Oryzias latipes: one gene and its partner. The protein of the gene in region 2 interacts with the protein of the main gene of each other region in a biochemical or structural test. Links are inferred from orthologs where the notes say so. Each region holds a gene or a part of one and is shown on either strand. Other genes may lie near its edges.

What was found.
Region 1: the proteins of wac (region 2) and rnf20 form a complex in vitro, tested with the Homo sapiens proteins (2 studies listed by BioGRID). The link is inferred for Oryzias latipes from reciprocal best matches to the Homo sapiens genes WAC and RNF20.

Annotation. Positions count from the first base shown.
Region 1 is NC_019868.2:15,969,860-15,977,473, forward strand, and holds the start of rnf20 (E3 ubiquitin-protein ligase BRE1A), read right to left. Parts: upstream 4,690-7,614; 5' UTR 4,581-4,689; intron 4,307-4,580; 5' UTR 4,298-4,306; coding exon 4,127-4,297; intron 4,023-4,126; coding exon 3,954-4,022; intron 3,856-3,953; coding exon 3,757-3,855; intron 3,673-3,756; coding exon 3,525-3,672; intron 3,428-3,524; coding exon 3,242-3,427; intron 3,144-3,241; coding exon 3,028-3,143; intron 2,915-3,027; coding exon 2,768-2,914; intron 2,693-2,767; coding exon 2,618-2,692; intron 2,086-2,617; coding exon 1,966-2,085; intron 1,879-1,965; coding exon 1,699-1,878; intron 1,618-1,698; coding exon 1,482-1,617; intron 1,385-1,481; coding exon 1,263-1,384; intron 1,135-1,262; coding exon 978-1,134; intron 901-977; coding exon 582-900; intron 449-581; coding exon 331-448; intron 1-330. UniProt on the Homo sapiens protein: Component of the RNF20/40 E3 ubiquitin-protein ligase complex that mediates monoubiquitination of 'Lys-120' of histone H2B (H2BK120ub1).
Region 2 is NC_019878.2:7,927,208-7,934,722, forward strand, and holds part of wac (WW domain-containing adapter protein with coiled-coil), read right to left. Parts: intron 5,659-7,515; coding exon 5,567-5,658; intron 4,361-5,566; coding exon 4,245-4,360; intron 4,126-4,244; coding exon 4,010-4,125; intron 1-4,009.

The DNA.
Region 1 (7,614 bases), on a different chromosome or scaffold from region 2:
TGTATAATGGTAGAGAAGGGTGCGTTTTTTTGTGTCTATTATCGGAATCAATCCCGTTTTAGCAGATTTATTTTACGTATAAGAAGGGAAAAACATCATACATGAAATATTTTTAGGTTTCTTTGAGAGGGACATTATTTTTCCTGCATATGAAACTGTTTTTCAAATGCACACTAAAGACAAATCCTAAAGCTGACAAACAGCTGCACATTTAGGATGCTTTTATGCTCCTCCACTCACTGATACAGCACTTTGATTTTTTTCCTCTGTTAATATCTCATGCGGTTATGCAGACACGCCGTCTGGGCAGTCTCACAGAGAGTCGGTTACCTCTGACTTAGTTTTCTTCTCTGCAGCCATGAGCTGAACTTTATCCCTCTGCTCCTTGGGGGCTGAGCGATACATGTCCAGCAGCAGCTTCATCTCCCTCTGGGACTCCTGAGCCTTCCTACAAGACAGGATGATGTGATAATAATAAGAATAAATCATCACAATATGAATAGATAAGGTTTCCATACACCATCTACAATAAAAAAAGCTTCTATGAGAAATAGTTTTCCATTTTCAAATTTCTCACATACTTCAGCTCTGCTCGGATAATCTTCAGCTGCTCCATTTCCTTCCTCTTGGAGCCCCCAGTCATAGAAATCCGCTCCGCCGCAGACTCCTCCGGCTGGCTGCTGCCTCCTGGCTTCTCCTCTTTGATCACATTACTGCTCCCGCTGCTGCGGGTGGGTCTCTCTCTCTCTTTTTCCTTCTCCTTCTCCCGCTCCCTCTCTTTCTCCTCTTTCTTGATAAAGTCCTTCTCTCTCTTTTCGTCTTTCTCTCTCTTCTCATCCTTTTCTTCTTCCTTTACGTTGGCATCTGCCTCAACACCAGACTCTGTTTTCACTGAGGCACCTGCGGGAAAAGAAAAGCTAGCTATAGAAAAAATATTATATTGATGTAGTTAAAGAAACAATAAGAATGGTAGATACCAGTGCTGCTGGGTGTGGAGGAACCATTATCTGGCTCCGTCTTGACCGCAGGTTCCCCAGAAACTGTGGTGATTGATGGAGAGGTGGTCTCGTCTTTCACGTCCATCTCTGTGCTCGACTGCGACTGAAGGATGCTGCTTCCCTTTGAGGCACAGACCTACATGAAAATTCAGGCGTCTTTAGGAGGATTTTGGGGTCGATGGCAAAGATCCTGCGAGTTTCATTTGACCCGCAGGTGATAGATACTACAAGGTCAGAGCCAGTTTTGACCTCGGTGTGACTTACCTTGTTGAGCTCAGCTTGTGTCTCCCTCAGTCTCAACTTGTATTTCACAACTTCCCCCTTCAGCTGCTGGTTGTGGGTTTGCAGTGTGCTAATAAGATGTCGCATCTCTCTGTTGATTGGACCTTGATAAAGAAGGTTGAAGGGATTTAAAGTTAGAAAATTGTAATCTAATTTCATATTTTAACTGAGCGTATACATATTAGAAGCCAAACCTGTTACCTGCTTGCTCGTTGGCAGCAAGAGTCTGCTCAAACTCGATCCGTAACATCTCATACTCCTTCTTCACCTGAGCCAGCGTGTCCTCCAGCTGGAACACTTCTGTCCGAACCTTCCTCTGCAGAGCCACCTCATCGTTCTGCACTCAGAGGGGGCAAGAATGGGTAAAACGGGCAAAAAAAAACAAAGGTCTCAGTACATGAACGGTGGCTGAACAAACCTCCATGTGCTCCAGCTGTCGAAGCCGTGCGGTCCGGGTGGTGTTGAGGCGAGCCCGTGTCTCATCTAACTGAGACTTTAGAGTCAGCGACTCGTTGTAGAGAACAGAAAACTGCGACTGCAGACAGCGATACTCTGATGTGTCTTTAACTAAACCCTCAGCTCGACTTAGAATCTCAGCCTGAAATGAGGGGAAAGAAAGAGGTTTGGAACAGCAGTTTGAAAGTATACATCAATTTTTTGTTTCCTAATTCGGGTGCTATGATACCGTCACATTGTTGTTTTCTTGTTGAACATTTTGCAGGTCCTGCTGGAGCTTCTGCAGCTCTATGAGGCGATTCTCTGCCAGTTCTCTGTTCTCCTCCAATTCGCTGTTCATTTCCTCAAACTGTCAAAAACATATAACAAGTGAGGCAGAAAGACACAGAAGAAAAACAACAATACACTTCTGACCAAAACCTTAAGACCAGTAAAAATGCAAGAATTTGCAAGAAGGCTCTAAATAGAGCTTCAAAACGCAAAAAGAAGAAAGAGGAGCAAGAGAACAAATATTTTAGCTGCCAATTTATTAGACATAACAATTTAAATGAAAAGGACTGTTCATCCTTTAAGACCACAGCCTTAAAAGCTAGAATCTGCACCCAAATTCAATTGTAATTTTTAATAAGTAATCATCCTGTCAAGGTCTCTTGATAGCAAAAGGCAAAAAATCCCAATTTCTTTGAACATGGAAGGATTGTTAAGCTGCAAAAGATGGACCTCCCACAACATGCTATCGCTGCAGAGGTTGACCCAAAGGACATTAAGCGGCACTGGGCCGGAGGATCCAAAGGGCTGTCTACCAAGACACGGGATCTAAGATTTTGATCAGGAGTGTGTTATTAGCTGCCAAATTTTACATTAAAAAGCAAACCTTTTACCTTTCTCTTGTTAATAGTTATGGTTCCACATACACTGCTGGCCTCTCCACACACTTTGTAGCCTTTGCTGTTTACCTGAGACAGAAGTAATGTTAGAAAAGACACAAATAGTATAAAATCATGTAAGTTGTCAAGTTTCAGCTTTCCTACCCTCTCCAGGATTTCACTCAGGTGAGCGTTTAGTCTATTCTCTCTGCGGCGGATCTTCTCCATGTCCCACTGCAGCTCCTCGATCCGGGCTTGAAGTTCTGTGACTCGCTGGTCTGCCTTGTTCGTAGCACGACCCAAAGCCCGAGACTGGGGAGGACAGATAAGAATAAGGATTTTTTTTCATGACTTGCAGAAAGTGTACTTAAAATTTTATGAACCTCCTACAGAAATTCTCTAATAACAAACTAAAGGCTCTTTACCTCGCTCGTCATGTGACTGTGTCTCTGCTTCAGATCCTCTGTCAGCTGCTGAAGCCGTTCGTTTTCACTCGTCAGCAGGACGTTCAGCTTGGAGACCACCTGCCAAAAACTACCCTCTGAAAGAATATTAAAAATATGTAAGCTATCTTTATTGTGTTCAAATCTGACTCCAATACAGAACAATGTTCCCGTGTTCCTCCACAGAAAACCTCACCAGTGCCTGAATCCAACTCTGTCTGAAGCTGGTCCACAGTGCTCTTCAGATTCTCATAAACGTCCACCACGCGTTGGGCCTGCTTCTGGCTTGACTCCACCCTCTCCTGGAGCTCCGCCTCCATCTCCTCACTGGTGCTGCTGGCCAGTGTGGCCAAGAAGGAATTGGAGGTCTCTCCCTGATGGGCTGCATGACAAATTTAGGAAGCAAAGTTAATATTTTGTGTTTCTATTAAGTAAAACGAGGCCTAATAGTTTCTGTTCAAATAGAGGACAGTCCTTACTTCTGTCTTTAGCTCTTTCCTGGTTCGAGTCACCATCGGGTTCAGGAGTTTCAGGCTTCAAGCTTCTTCCCTCGCCTGTTGGAGATTTCTCAGGCTCACTGCTTCCTTGATCATATCGCCTGATGATCAGTCGAACGTTTTCGTCAAACTGAAAGATAATTTACGGTGTTCCATTGTTACGGGTTCTGAGAGAAAATCCAGCAGACTGTGGTTTTGTTTTGAGGATACATACCTGGTTCCAGTATCTGTTAAGGATCAACAGACTAGCATCATCGGTAGCCTGACGGGTCTCCAGTCTTTCAATCCGCTCCCGCAGCTCATCTTCAATCACCTGCAGAAAAATAAACCAAGCTTCATTACATGTTCAAAAAGATCAGGGCTTCGATGTATGCAAAAGGCTGAGATTGCTAAAAGAAAAAATGAATAAACCTGTCTTTGATCGAGAGCTTCTCCCAGCTTTCGGTTTTTGGCTTGAAGAGCTTTGATGTCCTGTTCCTCCTGAAAAATAAAAGTATAATATTATATATAGCTATTCATACAAAAAAATCCATGTTTTGAGATGAGATCGTTTAAGATATTGGTGAAGATTGAAAAGGTCTTACAGAGTTTGACACTCCTCCCAGTTTGATGACCGTTTCCACAGCGGTGCTCCCCCCAGCAGCGCTACTGACGCCGGCACCTCCCTCCTCTCCTTCCTTCTCCCGACGCTTCTCCGGTGGGCCACCGGAGGACGATGGCCCACCGGAGTCTGCAGGACGCTTCTGTCCCGACATCCTCGGATTCTGAAACAAAGAAAACATACAGAACTTAAGCAGGAATTCGGATTGACCAAGAAAATGAATTCGATGATAAAATACACGATCAGTCTGAACCCAAAAACAAGAGAAACCAAGGAAATTCATAGCTCAAATCGTCTGTCTGGAGGAATATGGTTATGCTAGCGTTAGCCAAGCGCCAACTTTAGCTAGCGATTTTATCTATATTACATTGGGAACCGATAAATGAAACGGACAGATGTGTCATGTTTTGAAACGTTGACCCACACTTAAATCTTACCAATTTCAACCGTTATGTGTAAAAAAACAGAACCCGCCCGTCTGAGGTTGTTGATATTGCGGCTCCGTGGCCCAAGGAAACGGAAGTGGTGTTCACTTACGAATAACACTTTTTCGGCGGAGACTGCGCCCCCTGCTGTCGTGGAGGAGGTATTAGCAGTTAGGGGACTTTTAGTTCTGGTCACTTGTTTGTTATAGGTGTTGGGCTTGAAAACAGTGCATCTACTGCACAGAAAAAACAGCTTTCCCTTTTTTTATATCTTCCACTGCAGGAACGTATCATTTTTTGTGCCTGAGAGTAGCCAAAAAGTTGTCCTTAAGTAAGAGGAGCATTATGTCAAAGAAATACCTATAGAAAAATATTTCCTCTGGCAACATAAGAGTAAATAATTGGGACCAATAGAACTACATAACCAATGAGTGTATTTGACCCCACCCCCAGCTAAATATAAATACATAATAAATAAAGTTAAAGTTGAAGAAGTCAAATACTTACCTCTTTGAAGTATTTTTCTTAAAGGAAAAATTCGACTACCTTTAGAAGCTCTAGAATTATTTATGTGCAGATCCTTTTCCCAAAACAATGTGAAAAAAAACATATTTCCTGTTTTCACACATTGTAAGAACCATATTATGAGCTTTAAATTTAAATAAGAATTGTTCTATGTTTTTTTAATTTCTACTTACTAATTTCTCTACACACAGTAATAAGATAAGGTGCAAACAGTGAAGTACCAAAAGACACATAGAGCGAGTTAGGTGTGTTCACAAGCAGTATTTGAGAGGAAGTATTTGCTAAAGAGATAAAAGATATCAAGATATTCTTGTTAGTAAAAGGGTATAGTTCCTTTAGATAACAGTTTTCATCCTCAATTATATACAGTACTTCCACAACATGGGAGTTTGGTTGACCTTACACGTCTCACTGTTTCTGTGATGTTTTGGAATTCATAGAAAAGTAATCGTATCTATTATGCTATGACAATTCTTCTCATATTTTGATATTTTATTGACTGCCAAAGTTAGATTAGTCTTCTCCCTAAAAATTCAAAACAAAATAAGATTAAAAAAAATTCTAGTGGGTTTAAGTAATGATTGTAATCGCATTTTCATTTAAATCTGAAAACACAAGTCAACACAAGAAGGATACTCATCTAAATATAATACCAAACAACAATTAGCTGAGATAACTGAAAAGAAATACTTTTCAGTAAAGTATAACTGTTCACCTTTTATATCTACAGAGAGGAACAGAATTGAATCAAGCTTTATTTTTTTTAGCACGCCAGTCAAAATAACAAAGGCTCTTCACCATGTGGAAGGTTCTCCCTCAAAAGTGAGGCTTAATTAACTTTTTTCCTCCTATTCTTAATAAGTAAAATGTATGAGGGAAAATCGTTAAGAAAAAATGTTACATATTGTATTTCTGCTATACTTTTAATTGTTTATATTTTTATTGTTTTGCCTGGGATTGCCTTACATGCTTTTCTCTTGCCTATATTTTGTTCAAGCGGTTGCAATTCCAATTATGCTTCATAAATAAACAATGATCATGAATGTAACTGGAATGTAGCTTATCATTTCAACTTATGACCTTATAACCCTAACTTATATGAAGTGCCAAGAGATCACTTTATTTGTGAACAGGCTCTTAAAGTGAGCTAAAACCTTAATAGGAAATTTACCCATGCAGCAGCTGTTTGGAGAATAACACAAGTCTTGTGTGCAATTATTAACAAAATCTATATGAATCTATGTGTTTAATATCAAAGTTTTGATGAATCTCACTACAATTTTGATTAGCAGACCCTCTTATTTCCTAAAAATAGAGTAAAGTCCACAGTGTTTCCACATGACAAACCAGAGGATCACATGATTATTCTGGGTTGGTTTTTACCTCGAGGTCACAAATTCCTAATTTATCAAAAGATTTGGGGTTTTAGCTGGTAGTTTTCCATCAGAAATGAAACATAAACATGTATTCACTCAACTACTACCATAAGGATGTTACTAATAAATCTTTATTAAATGTACTCTCACTAAGTTACTGGGTAGAACTGATTGGGTGACAAAATCTCTTGCCTCTACGCTTGTGCAAAAAAAGTATTTTTTTTAAATGAAAAGCTCTTGAACTCATTAAAACTAACCTCTGCTTATCTGTAGTGTTAAAGGAACATTGCACAGGGAGCAGAGTCCAAGTTGTGTAAAAACTAGCAGGCCATTATTTTCGTGTTGCAGATGCAACCCGACATGTAAGCTCAAAGATCTTTTTGTCGAAATCAGTTGTCGTAGAAAGGCAGTTTTGGAAAACTTCAATTTGGAGCAATCTGGTCACACATGACACAACTGAATTGCACAAAAGTGAGCAAAACGGATGCAGGTTTTGATGACAGAAAACACAAGGATAAACACAAGGATAAACATGGTGTATGGCTGATTTGCACAGTGAAATAAAACACATGCTTTTAAAGGTTGCTGGTTTGTTGCAACTGGCAGTGTTGTTAACGATGCGGCCCAGGAAATTCAGAAAGAATTTATAAATTGTTTCCTTAAATAAAGAATTTGTGGCCATGAATATGTGTTTTGTGTTTACAAAATTAACATTTAGTGGCCACTAAATTGTGCTAAAATGAGCAAACAAAATGCTAACGAAATGCTAATGTGTGCCCACAAAATACAAATTTGTCCACACAAAATACAAATTTGTGCACACAAAATTTTCATTTAGACCATGAAACACGAGTTTGCGCGCACAGCATGCTAATTTATGCACTTAAAAAGTAATTTGTGTGCACGAAATGCTAATATATTCCATACAAATGCCTATTTGTGTGCTTAAAAAAGTACATTTTTTGCACAAACAAATGACTAATTTGTGCACAACGTGCTCATTTGTGCACACAAAATGCTCAATTCCCCACAAAATATTAATTTGCGTGCACAAAATGCTAGTTTGTGCGTGTGAAATGCTATTTGTGTGTTTTAAATGCATTTTGTTTGCACAAAGGCCTAATATGTGTTAAAAAATAGTTATT
Region 2 (7,515 bases):
GAAACATCAAAGCTATCCATTCGTACAGTTTTGATCCAGATTCCAGCTCAGACGAGGAAAACAAAGACATTCATGGATCTATTTGTTTACCAATGGATGCATCAGGATGGAGCGAAGAATGAAGCTCGTTGACATAAAAATCCGCTCTTTTTCTAACTGCACTTTTACATTTGCTCCTGATTCACAACAATTTGATGGAGAAATGCACAAAAATTTAATTTAGGCTTTTTTTTTATACAAGCCCTCCATCAGACAAATGCCACGAGAACATGTTAAAAACACCAAAAACACAACTGTTTATCAAAGTGGCTCTTTAAATGCTAACTTAGTGTTAAACATGAGCAGCAGAAAGTAAATGTCATCACAAAAGCAACAAATAAAACCTGGCCTTGTGACGGGGAGTATTTTTTTTAAAGAAAATTACTGTCTATTAAACACAACACAGTGTCCTAATGTGAAAAACACCCAGCAACAAGAGTCTTGAGTCGACTCCACAGCACGACCCGGTGAAGGTGTGTTGTGACCTGGATGAGCTGCTGGGCTCTGTTGGAGCCACCAATAAAGATTCAAATAAAAACTATGATTGTCAAGTTAATTAAGCAGATCAACGAGTCGGGGCGTTTTCCTTAAACTGCTTTGTCTAAACTTTTCACATTGCCCAAACGTGTGTACCGGTATTCATGAGTGAAATGCAGCAAAGGATTTTCATATCATTGTCATCAAAAGGGATGCATCAGATGTCTGTGAAAGACTGTCTAACATTCAAAATGCCATTTCAAATGGGTTTCAAATGCAAAATACAAGCAAAGAAAAAAGAAATTAAGCAGCTATGGACAACATTTATTTTCCTTTTGACAGCTCAGCCTTGGAGTAGAGTGTCCCCCTGAAACTGGAAGGCCATAAGTTCAAATCCACGGCCGAGTCACAGCAAATGTTTTAAAAATGGGACCCAATGCAAAGAAAGAAAGAAAGGAAAAGAAAGAAAGAAAGAAAAAAGTAATCGCAGGAAAGGTTCAACATGTAATATATTTACAAATAAAGAAGGTACACAGAAGGAGTTTTCAAAGTTGTAATAATATACCTGAGCTTTTCTTTCCAAACAGTGCCTGTGACACGGCAGCAATATGGTAGTGACAGGGCTGGTTAAAAAAACATACCGGTAAAAGTCACTGAGAGCAGCAGTAACACAGAGGCAAGCGCTGCGAAGGAGGGGGCTGGAAGTTTTCTTCCACAACAGTGACACACCGTAACACAGCGCCAACAGGGCTGGTTTAAAAAAAATGAACGTAAACGTCACAGAGCTTTCTTCATCTTCCTCCTGTGCACTGAAACCATGGAAGTCTTCCTCAGTGTTGGATGATTCATTTATAGGGGCGTGATGATAACCGCATCACCGGAGTGATGACCTCATCACCTTTTTTTTTTTTGATAGTTTTTTTGTGTGAAGGTTCTGAATATGGTCCGTGATTGGAACTATAATAAACACACTAAACACATTCATCTTTGCTGATAATTTACTTTTTCTGCTAGTCCTGTGCTCAGACTTTAAGGGTTTCTGGGGGAAACCTTTTATTAATGTTCTCCTTCACTCCCTGCGCCGCGCCTCTCACTCCCTCTTAGAGCCACGTGCAGCGCAAGAGGTGAGTGGCGCAGGACGCGGCTCACTCTACTTACACAAAACACGCGGTTTCAGAAGCACATACACATCCTCATTCTACAACAGAAGTTTCCGTCTCTTGAGGAAATATGACAAATTTACTGCGTTCTAATTATGCATTTCCATTACAAGCTGAGCGCTTTCTTAAGTGCGCGACACGGCCGCCCACCGGAGGACTTTGTGTTGGGGGGGTTGGGGGATTATTCCTGTTCTCCTTCACTCTGTAATACCAAACACGAACTGTTAAATTTCGATGAATATCACTACATGTTTTGTTTGGGAACTATTTTGTGCAGCACAACGTTTCGTGTCTGTATAAACAAAACCCTAGCCTCCTGCCCTGCGTTCTTCATGGATGTCAGGCTTCATGGCTACCGGAAAGGTGACAAAGTGTCTGCAGTCTCGTTTATTACTGGGCAATATATAATATTCTGAGAAGATGTCTGTACCAGAGAGCACAGGTGAAGCCTCGCATGCAGCTCCAGAGCACTCCGCTGCAGAAGAATCAACACGCACCCCCCAACACACTTGTACGCGGTCCTTCCTCCACACGCAGCACGCTGACACAGACACGCATAGTCATTCTACAGCACCCATATGGTTAGTTCATTAGTTAGATAGGTATCAAAAATAAAAAATCCCACACTGTCACAGCTCTTTTCATTTATACGACAAGAAATCATTATGCAACCTGGCGCTCAGTGTCCACACACCACTAACCCTGCATGTAACCGGTAATCTCTCCTGCTACAACCTACACAGACAAACCAGCACCCACATCATGTGGATTCTCAGATCATAACACAATGAATGAGTTTTACAATAGAGACTGAGATCAAATGCGAAATCTCCGGAAAATTACCAACATGTATTAGCTAAGCAGTTTTCTGAATTTAAATTCTTTAACTGCAGAGAGTCTAGGTGGGAGAAATTACAATCCTTAGTAGAAAATAAATAAACAAAAACATAAAATGTACTGAAATTCAGAATTTCAGAACATATAAAGAGCAGACAAAAGGATTAAAATGAAAAGACAAACGTAGCTGCAGTACCAATTTGTTTTAAGTAGAAGTGCTTCATTTCACCTGTTGATAAAAACACCTGGAAAATGCTAAATGTACTACATACTAGTACCTACTCAATAACAACTAGAGGTACCAGAGGCTAAAAAGTAGTACTATGATGACTTCAATGTAACCAACATTGGAAAAGAGGAGCTAAAAGCATCTATTCTCCTAATTTTGTTGAGACTGGAGTTGGCAGGTTTGTTGGTGTGATCAGATGGTTTTGGATCTGAAACATTCACTACTGATACGTTTTTCTAGCCCAACAAAGAGCTAAAACTATGTTAACTGTAATCTGCCAGTTTCAGTTCTAATAAAATCACTTAAACATATCAGTCACAAAAGAATATAATATATTAGCTCACACTTGCATTTTGTCAAAATAATTTACCAAAACAAAAAAAACTTTTTTATTTGTGAGGTCGTCTGTGAAGTATAGTGGTCCCTCAATATCGCTGTCGATCTTTTGCTGTCTTAACATTTAAGTGCAATTTTGCATGCCTTTTGCTTTTTTTTTTACATTATGTTTCGTGTCCTGATTGGTTGTAAGGCATTCACAGTCAATCTCTGTGCCGTTTCTCTTGTATAGAAAGCCTTCAGCAGATCTTTGGTCTCATTCTACAATCCTGAACTTATTTTTCCTATGAAGGTTTGAACTTTGAGAGTTTAAACGAGAGAAAAGTGTAAAAATGTTCATGTCTGACTGAGAAAAGTGTATAGTGTGTAGTGAGGGGATTTAGCCTTAAATCATTGCACAAATATTAGATTTTGTCTATTATAAGTTATTTTTAGAACGCAGCTCCTGCACCAAAATGAGGGATTACTGTATATAAGTAATTTCAGTGCAATTCCATCAGATAAAACCTAGTTGTAAGGTAGGGGTGCGACAGATCATGGCTGAACCGTAAACCCCAAGGATCACTAGTTTTTAATTTCTTGTTTTCTGGAAGAGATTTGCAATCAGCCCATATTAACAGGTGCTTTAAATCAGGTAATTGATTTATAGACCTATAAGCACCAGAGGCACCACACAACTTGACAGCTAAATAATATCCAGTGACCTGTGAGAAATAATCTACAACTTTGTTATTCAGTGATGAGTAGAATGCTCTTTACACCGAAGACCTGTAATATGATCAAAACATTTGACATGCCTGACAAAATGTTTTATCTGCTAAGCATTAGCCATACTAGCTGCTAGGTTAAAACATAATTAACAGTCTGACCAATAAAACAAAGTAAGTGTGATTTAGTGAGATGAGTCAGAAAAGATCTGTGCAACACTTACTAGGACCAGTAAAGCCAGGGGCTGCTGTTGCTTGCATAGCCTCCCTTCTGTAGTCCCTGTCCTTTGGGAAATTGTTGACAACAGCAGTCTTTGTTGCCTCTTTTTGCCTTTGTTCTCTAAGCGGCAAATACAACAACACTGTTAGAGATCTGTGCTTAACAACACTTGTGCAAATGTACTTTAGTGTGCAAAGCCAAATACTGTTTCATTAGTGGAAAAAAAACCATAAAACTACCTCTCAAGCCATTCCTTGGGCTTCTCCCACTGGGAAACTTCTGTCCTACAGTTGTAATAATATTTCTTTCCAGAGGAACTGATGTGCTCTGACCAGTCATCAGCAGGCTCGAAAGGCTGAGTAGAAGAACACAAACTTAGAAACAAATGGCTTCCTGTCAGACAGACAGGTGTTTTGGTAGAGGTCTGATGCAATAGCCGGCAATCTGTTCTAAAATGCAAAGGAGGATGGGATGGAAGCAGAAGGGGAGAATTAGCTCTCCTATGACAGAAAAGTCCCCTTTAACCCTTCATCGTCAGTGTGAATTTACTTTACATCTACATTTAACATTTTAAAACTGAAGCATTTTTATGTTGTCATTAGTATGACGCTACATTCACACCGAAGGTGATTCATGTGTCAAATCTGTGTCAGGCGCATTTCTTTTGATGAGTGACAAATTTGCCACTGGACCCTTGCCAAAAACTGTGTTCATGAACGTGATGCTCCAGACGCATGTGGGAGGAGCTACTCTCCAAAGTTTTTAACTTCATCGCTACGTGAATGGGATATACATGTCTCTATATCCCATTTAGAGTGCATGGAAGACACGGATGATGTTGGGATCAGGTTCATTTATTTTCCAGATAAAAAAACATTGGTAATCATGTCTCCATTAGGTCATTCAGATTCTCCCAGTACATGAGCTTCCCCCCATCTACTGAAGGAGCGTCGTCTGAAAGACGGCGCTTTCAGCGGTACTTCTGTCTCTCGGTGACCCAGTGTGACGAATTGCTGCCTCACATTAGTCCGAGTAAGGAAAAAAGAAAAATAAGAATAAGAGAATTAGAAAATAAAAGTATGGAAAAAAATATGAAGCTCAGGAGGAGAACAATTCGATTCCCCTTCATGTTGGTTTTGTACTTCACCCCCTGATGACATCATCAAGAAGTCATGGGCAAAAGCTGAGTCCCTAATTGGTTGATGCGAGGCGTCTTTTTTGCCAAAGTATTTGAACTCTCGATGCAACGCCCAAATCATGTAGATGCCACACGCCTAATTGCGCTGCAGGACCTCTGACCACGTCCGTACATTAGTTTAAGATTAAAAATTGGATGCCCCTAACGCGTGAATCGCAGTCGGTGTGAACACAGCTGAAGAATAAACTGAAAGGAAGGAATGACCACCAATTATTTTAACGGAATGAATTAAAAAAAAAATTAACCAAAAGATTAAGACAGCATAAAATATTCAAATCTTGGTGCAACAGTCACTAAGGACCAGGTGAGCAATGTTTAGCAAGTCATTGGTCCACATTGTCTAAAGCAGAGGGGAGCACTTACTGCGTCTGAGGTCTTGTTTGGATTTGAAACCGAGTTGGAGCTATAAAGGGAAGTATGGTTGTGAGAGTTTTCTTGTGGTGAATAACTGGTACCTAAAAGAGAAAACACAGAAGGAACAGCCCATGACAAAAAGACAAAACTCAGTGAAATGCCAAGCAGATCATCTCCTGCTTGAGTTAGCTTACAGTCAGAAGTACCTAAAAGTAATTACCTCAATCGTCAACCACAACTTTATCCATTAAAAAAACAAAACGATTTGATTAAAAATACAAAAGACTTTAAAATATGAATCTATTTTTAATAATAGGTTTAACTCTCCAGCATTAAGAACATAAATCAAACAATTTCAGCCGTGTATAAAGGACTTGCACTTCTAGCTTGAGAGCTATGATTTTCACTTTGTGAACAGGAACAGGAAAAATAAGCAAGGCGGGGGGGTGGCTCTTTATATACACAACAGTCTTAAACACAAAGTTGTGGAAATGATGTCTGGCTGTATTGATGATGTCATGGAATCTGTAGAGATCAGTATGGAGGAACAGAGTAACGTCAGTGGCGTGTATCGAACCCCTGCATCAAACATTGAAACTTTTACAAGTACCATTGAAAACATGTTGGCTAATATCTCCAAAAACGTAATATTTCTTTGTGGCAATTTTGATATGGATTTGTTGAAACAAAACAATCACATCACAACAGAAGATTTTACTCATAAAATGTACAGTTTAAGCTTCTATCCATTAATCAACAAACCGAGCAAAATAACAACAAATAGAGCGACATTTATAGACAATATATTCACAAACTGCCTAGAAAACAGAATAAAAAGTGGATTGCTGAGGACTGACATCAGTGACCACCTTCCAGTATTTGCAAACTATAAATGTTTGTAGAGAAGTAAAAGAAAAAAGGCAAGTAGTTACTGAAGAAAACCAACAGAGGAATCATTAAATGCATTTAAATCAGAACTACAAGCACAAACTTGGTGATGATGCATTACCTTAAACATTTTCTGGTAAAAGCAATTGATTTTAAAAGCATTTTTTAATGCTTCTATGCTTTGAAGAAACCTCATTCTGTGTCATTTACTCATGTTGGACAAACTTTCATAGCTTTTTGCAAGCTACAACTGGAACATTTTAAAACTTTGCAGCTGCATCAGGCTTACCATCATCATTCTAGCAGATTTTCAATGACCAAACCAGAAAGAGTACCGTAAATTCCGGGTTATAGAGCGCACCCATTACAAGCCGCACCCACTCATTTTCACGTGTTGAGCTACCTTCATACACACATAAGCCACAGCAGTGTACAAGCCGCGTGTAATCAGCAATGCGGCCAACCTGTCACAGCATGTCCAGACTCCCAGACTAAATACTGCTTTTAACCCCACTGTGGGAGGAGTCGGCATAGCATCAGCTCATGTACTTGAAGATACCCACATTTAACAAACAGCATGGACCTCATTCCTGATCACAAGTTCCTCAGTTATGGTTTTTTTTGTGTGTATGTTAAGTTTTTTTTAACTTATTGACAATTGAGTTATCATACATAAAATTACAGTTACCATATAATCAACATTACATCCCTCAGTTATGATGAGGAAATTTACATCCGCGATTCCCCATTTCCCATGAGTCTTAGGGGGTTAAGGCGGGGCTATTCCCTGGGTCACCACACTGTTGTCAGTGTTTATTGAATGAGCAAGGAGCAGCGGTGGTGAGAGGGGCGAACGAGAGAGCAGCTCTCCTTGCGCTTGTGTCGCGGCAGCGTTATGGTAGTAACAGGGCTGGTTAAAAAAAACACACCAGTAAAATAAAGCAGCGGCAACTGAAAAGCACGCGCCTGAGCGCGATACGTGCGCCTCTGTGCGGCGCCCAGTCGCTGCGCGCGGCTGCTGGTGGACGGAGCGAATCGTGTCTGTGCAGAGCAATCGGACTCAATACTGT